Linked DNA regions of Drosophila melanogaster. The protein of the gene in region 1 interacts with the protein of each later gene in a pairwise test. Each region holds a gene or a part of one and is shown in the gene's direction. Other genes may lie near its edges.

Region 1 (2,947 bases):
ATGATTTCGTCATAATCGAGCAGCAAATTACTATTTTTTCCCCCTAATAGAGTAATAAAATTGCCCAACTCTGGCCGAGAAATTTACTTTAAACTGAAAAGGAAGTGGAACCTGAATGGTAGCAGCAGGCTGAAAAACAAAGCTGAAACTGAAAATCGAAACCGAAATGAAATGTGGGGAAAATTAAGAAGAAAACGCTAACAATAAATCTTTTGGCAATAGAAAAAACAAAACCTGCCACAAAAAAGGCCCAAAAAGCCTGTTCACAAAATTGACTTTCGAACACAATTTATTTTTATATTTTTGTCTGCTTATTTCGATGTTATTTTTTTTTTTTGTTTTACCAAATCGCTTGAGAGTTTTTCTAGCCAGCGATTTAATAACCCGAATAAAGCCCCAAATAAAAAACAATGAAAAATTAATGTACGATCCATTCAGGTTCATCATCGACACGAGATCGAACCGCAACCGGGGAAAAAGCCAAAGGGAAAGGCGGCTGGCTCAGAGTGTTTGAAGCGGGCTGTAAGGCTTTGCTTTGTCGCCACTTTAATTGGCTCAAATTAAAGACGAGCTGGGATTGGGTTTTAATGGCAACGTCTGTCGGGTAAGGGGTGGTGGGAGGGGGGGAGGTGGAGAAGATGCAGCTGCAGTTTAGAGGCGTCACTTTATTCCGCTGATTAATGAAGAAATTTCCCCTGGAAGCTTGCCGCCTTGTTAACGACTTTATGTGTGACTATTCGCAAATAACAAAATGAGCGAGGTGAAATTAAATTTTACAAAATGTCCCATAAAATAATCAGTCAGCCATGGAAACCACTGGGGTCTGCGGACAACTTTAGTTGCTATAAAATGTGTAAAATGGAAAGTGCTGACCACGAAAGGGTGTTGGGTACGTAATTTTTACGAGAATTATTTCCTTGATGTAGGAAAAAACATGCATCATTTAATTGTAAGTATAAAAATTAAGCCAGTCCCGATGGCATGACCCAAAAGTTTATCCTCGCTCTATACCAGAAAATAAAGATAAGTTCGATTTGGTTGGCAATTTATTTATGTCGGGTCAATTTCTAATGGGGTTGTGCTACAATAATTTAACCATGGTAGATGTGGTGTCCATAGGTGGGAACAGCGTAGGACTTCAGCACAGGGACATGCTGAACCACTGGGACATTTTTCACCACCGGAACATGCTGCACCACTGGAACATGCTTCACCACCGGAACAGATTTCACCACGGGCACCACCTGGGCCACAGGAACCACTCCGTAGGAGGGCTCAATGTAACCAGGAGCAGCAAAAGCCATTGCTACCAGGGCGAAGATTACAGCGATCTAAGGAGATATTTTGTAATATGAAAAATCCTAAGGATTTACTTTATAATTTCGTGAACTTACAATGCGGAACATTTTGGTATTTTGTTGTGAGTTAAAAACTTTAACTTGTGGTTATCGAACGTTTGTGTTAGCCGGACGACTGTTGTTGATTGACCATCCGTGGAATCATTATATATAGTAGTTAGCACCTCAGCCGAAAATAGCCCACAAATGACTTCTGTTCGAACGCCACGCGCCAAACCAGTTTAATTATCTTAAATTTGGTATCTTCGAATAATGCGCATTCTATTTGGTATGAAACCATCTCCAGCGGCGAACTTCCCGTTATCGGTCGTTATTGCTTAACCTTTGGACATAATCCCCATTCAATGACTTCTCAATTGTTTGCTGTTTTTAGATCCGTGTGCTTATTATTGTTTACTTCCAAGACCATTGTCATTATATCGATCGTCTTCACGCGTTTGTGATGATCACCAAGAACCAAGGTCATGTCCACAAAAAAAGACCTATATGAGGCACCTTTGGGTCAACTGATAAATCCATTCTCTCAATTAAACAGAAGAATTATGGCCAAACACGTTTGCCCATTTAGAAGTTGTTATTGAAGTGATTTTTGGCTATATAAAGTAACTGATCCATTGGTCAGCATCACCAGTCGTCCTACAAGCATCCAAGTGACAATATCTCCAAGTCAAGTTTGTAAATTACTAAGAAAATACCAAAATGTTCCGCATTGTAAGTTCACGAAATTATAAAGTAAATCCTTGTGATTTTTCATATTACAAAATATCTCCTTAGATCGCTGTGATCTTCGCCCTGGTAGCAATGGCTTTTGCTGCTCCTGGTTACATTGAGCCCTCCTACGGTGTGGTTCCTGTAGCCCAAGTGGTGCCCGTGGTGAAATCTGTTCCAGTGGTGCAGCACGTTCCGGTGGTGAAGAATGTCCCAGTGGTTCAGCATGTCCCTGTGCTGAAGTCCTACGCTGTTCCCACCTATGGACACCACATCTACCACGGTTAAATTTTGGAAAGAGCTCAATCGATATCGCACGGGAATAAATAAAATGTTTATGCTTGTAAAAGGAATCATATTTGACTTACTTGTCTCAAATCAAATGCACTTCAAATGAGTTTACAACTTCTGTGATTTATTCGCAGTATTTGCAGTGTGTGCGGATTATTTTCTCATGTCCCGCCGAGTTTTTGTATCCAACAACCCATTAAGAGCTGCAACAGAATTTTCTTCGGTCTGGTCCGATCGGAAATTTTTACGCAAGCCGTAAATGCGCCAAAATCTGGAACACAAATACGTTTTTCTCTGTTTTCGCGTTAGGGGCTTTGTAGTTTATTTGGTGCGGATCGAGTGATAAAAGCCAAATGTGCGCCTCGTTCCAGGCACCCAAAAGATACGGAGATTGAGCAGTTGCGTGGAACACATTTGGCAGGCTGTTCGCTGGTGAATTGACTCTTTGCACCGACTGAAGGTGATTAATGGACGCCAAGAGGAGCGGAGCGGAGTGGAGTTCAGTTGCGAAGAGTTGAGAGTAGCCGTACGATACTTCTTAAACGGTAGTTAAAATCTAACTAACACGCGAGAGAAAGAGTTTGCGTTTG
Region 2 (4,021 bases), on another chromosome or scaffold:
CCAGGCCCAAATCCCAACTTATATGAACGGAGTTCTGGATATGGACATGAAAAGCAATGCATTCTTTTCGGCATTACCATTTCTGGCCATGTGGATTATGTCGTATGTGTACCTGATAATCGCCGATGTTCTGCTCGCCGGAAACAGGCTGAGTTTAACGGCCCTCCGGAAGACCTTCAACTCGTTGGCCTTCTGGATTCCTTGTGCCACTTTGATTGGAATCGGATTCCTGGATCAGGAGCAGAAGAACCTGGCAATTGCTTTGATGACCATCAGTGTCGGTGTCAACAGTGGAGCAACAATCGGAAGCTCCTTGAACACCATAGATCTATCCCCGAATCATGCGAGTATTCTAATGGGAATCTTGAATACGGCTGTTACTGTAGTGCCTATAGTAACCCCTTTGATTGTTGGAGTTATTGTTCATGAAGACGTAAGTTTGCACTGTTAGTGTTTATAAACAGGGCAGTGATAAATAAGTATAAATAAGAAGACTTTCTGTTGATTGTTTCAGGATAACCGTGCTGAGTGGCAGATAGTGTTCATAATTGCGGCAGTACTTTTTTTTGTCGGAAACTCGGTGTACCTATACTTTGGAACGGCTGTTTCACAACCCTGGGATGCTGAAGACTACCTCACAGTAAAGGTGCCAGAGCTAGCTAAAGTTCCAGCTATCCATGAAGCTGGTAAAGGTATTGATGACCTTCCACGAAGTCCTTGAATTGAAGTTCTATCGATAGCACTTAAGTCTTCAGTTAACATAGAAACTATTTAAAACAACAAAGCAATCAAAATAATTTAGAGTATTATTATTAAATTTAATAAGATTTAAGATCTACATCAGTACATTTCATTTGTTTATTAAACGTATAAGTAAAACGATTTGTTTGAATTAAAATGTTTGAGCGTTATTTGCTTATCAAAAGTCGTCAAATTTACCAAAGGTGCGGCCATAAATCAATCCAATAATGGTATGGCAGTAACTACTCTTGATATTACCAATTGATTTTGGAACGCCACACGACCAGGCAATGCTGTTCTAAACAACCTCGTTTAACAGTAGAAAAGGAACTGCAGGTAGGATATTTTCGTCAAGATATCTAAAATTAACTATTAAAGGTGCAAAACCTTGGCTTCTTTCTTGACTAAGTAACCTGAAGGCCGAAATGCCCACCTATTCGAAAAAGGGTTCTCGATATGGCCATGAAAAAGCAATGCATTCTTTTTGGCGCTAACATTTTAGGCCATGTTGCTTATGTGGCATCTATCTTTTACCGAATCGTGCCAGAATCCTTACTAGAATTGTAGAAATGGATGAAAATAATGATTTATTGATTGATTTACAATATTCTGACTAATGACATAATAACTAGTTTGTAAAGTACAACAATTTTTTAATGACGCTTTTTAATTCAATGGTTAAATTCGCCCGCTGTATGACCTTATCACCTGACGTGTCGTATCAGATAAGCAACATTTGGCTTATCGTCTAATTCAATTTGGATTTAAATCCACTCTATGTTCGTGGTCTCACTCACTTAACTTCCCACAGTGATTCCGATCGGTCGTTTAAAAGAAGTCAGGAGGTGTTTTGTTGACCAAATCAAAAATGACGGCCGAGACAAACAAAGGTGCGTGAAAGGAAATCCTTCGGTTCGGATAAGAGTTTGTGAATGAATTGACACCCAACGAACTTGACACAGTGGAAAACCCCTTCATGGCTCAGACCTTGCACTCCGTCTGATTTCTGGGCTTTTCGCACACGCATTGAGTGGTCATAAATTACTACAATAATGGCGCGATAACCGAGTCTCAAGAGCAATTCAGACTTATTTACCCAACTGTTTGTAGACAGGAAGTAACAGTGATAATACCAGTTCGTTTTGTTATTGCAGGACCCGTTCTGGGAATGAGGCATGTCCAGGCGCTACTGATCTTCCTCAATATAACTACCGTATTCATAGGCCGCCTAAATGTGGGCGTGTCTGTGGTGGCAATGACCAATGCGGAAACCACGAACCCGAACTTTCCGGTAAGAATAGGGATCCTATCAAGAAAATACCACTTAGCTTACTAGATTCTCTACTAGGAATACGATTGGACGGAGGCAGAGAAGTCGTACATTCTCTCCAGTTTCTTTTGGGGCTACATCCTAACGCAATTCCTTGGAGGTTATCTCTGCAAGCGCTTTGGAGTCAAGAGTGTAATGTTTTGGGGTGTCTTCGGATCTGGTGTCTGCAGTGCTTTGACGCCGCTGTTCATCGGATTTGGAGAATGGCAGGCCTACTGTGGAATTCGAGTTCTAATGGGATTGGCCCAGGGAGTGGTATTCCCCTGCATTCATCAGCACCTGGCTAAATGGTCACCGCCCGAGGAAAGAAATCGGTTGGGAGCTCTGAGTCACACTGGAATCGAGTGCGGCAATGTGAGTGCCATGTTCCTGAGCGGAATGATAGCCAAGAGCTCCCTGGGATGGCCCGGAATCTCATATGTCTCGGCTGGAGTGGCCTTCTTCTGGTGTACATTATGGTTCGTCTTCGCTGCCAACCATCCTACGGAATCTCGTTTCATAGGAGAGAACGAACTGATCTATATTGAGTCGTCTCTAAAGCACAATGAGTCATACCACGCTACCATTATACCCATTCCCTGGAAGGCAATTTGGACGTCGGCACCATTCCTGGCCCTGCTCATAGTACGATGCGCTGAGAACTGGGGACTGAGCACTCTGCAGGCCGAGATCCCATCCTATATGAACGGAGTCCTCGACATGGACATGAAGAGCAATGCGTTCTTCTCGGCACTCCCATTCTTGGCCATGTGGTGCATGTCGTATATTTACCTAGTCGTAGCCGATGTGCTCTTGGGCAAGAACTCGGTGTCCTTGACGATTTTGAGAAAGACCTACAACTCCATTGCCTTCTGGATTCCTGCTGCCACTTTGGTGGGCATTGGCTTTTTGGACAAGGAACAAAAGAACTTCGCGATTGCTCTGATGACCATCAGTGTGGGCGTGAATAGTGCTCAAACCATTGGCAGTGTTTTAAACACAATTGATCTATCGAAAAATCACGCTAGCATTCTAATGGGAATTGTGAATACAGCGGCGAATTTCGTGCCCATAGTCACTCCTTTAGTTGTTGGATGGATTGTTAAGGAAAATGTGAGTGCTTGCAAAAGTTGGTAGGAAGTAAAGATTTTTAATTGCTTATTGTATCCTTTCCTTTCAGTCTGATCGCTCCCAATGGCAGATCGTGTTCATCATTGCCTCCGTAATCTTCTTTGTGGGCAATTGCATTTACTTGGTGTTTGGCACGGCCGAAACTCAGCCCTGGGATGCCGAGGACTATCTGCAGACACAGAACCCGGAACTTGCCAATAGACCACCTATGCAGGCGTTATCCTTTCCAATTAACGAAAATTCCAAAGAGAAAATTAATAGTAAAAGCCATTAATTCTTAACCCATTTAACGCATTTATTTTTTAGACTAGTCTGGATAACCAAATTTACATTTTAGCATTTGGTTTTTATTTGTTCACTTTAGTGGTCTAAAAATCATAACTTGGTAGAGAGATAGCAAACGATTCTTTTATCTATAACTGACACTCAAATTGAGTTATTCTTGATATTTTGAAAATGCCATTGAGGGCGACATCACTAAATATTTTTAATTACAAGTCCGCAGTCTCAAGAGCTAGTCAGCTATTATTGTTTTGATTGCTCGAAAATATAGACATATTCTTGTGTTTAAAATTCCCTTAGTTACCGTCGCTAGTAGACTGAATTATAGAGCATTTAGTTCTGCAGTTCATTTTTAAGATGCCGTTTGCGAAGACCTAAAAATATTATCTTACGTACAACGATCTCGTCATTGCACTTCTCGCCATATGATTTGTGATAAAAAAAATTGGCAATGCCCACAGTATCACTAAATGGTACACACCTTTATGGTTTCTTTGGAACAAAAATTTAAGGCGCGACCTATAACTTTAGTAAGTGACTCATCGTTCGAAATGAAGG

The links. Proteins that work in one complex are often made in the same cells at the same time.
Region 2: the proteins of CG34267 (region 1) and CG9825 interact in a two-hybrid assay, tested with the Drosophila melanogaster proteins (one large-scale study listed by BioGRID).

The regions. Positions count from the first base shown.
Region 1 is NT_037436.4:499,484-502,430, reverse strand, and holds CG34267 (uncharacterized protein), read left to right. Parts: upstream 1-1,979; 5' UTR 1,980-2,057; coding exon 2,058-2,069; intron 2,070-2,132; coding exon 2,133-2,354; 3' UTR 2,355-2,417; downstream 2,418-2,947. Other genes in the region: CG34268 (uncharacterized protein), read right to left, coding at 1,092-1,331, 1,395-1,406.
Region 2 is NT_033778.4:22,835,827-22,839,847, forward strand, and holds CG9825 (uncharacterized protein), read left to right. Parts: upstream 1-1,534; 5' UTR 1,535-1,609; coding exon 1,610-1,631; intron 1,632-1,895; coding exon 1,896-2,032; intron 2,033-2,089; coding exon 2,090-3,163; intron 3,164-3,230; coding exon 3,231-3,455; 3' UTR 3,456-3,465; downstream 3,466-4,021. Other genes in the region: CG12490 (uncharacterized protein), read left to right, coding at 1-433, 515-721.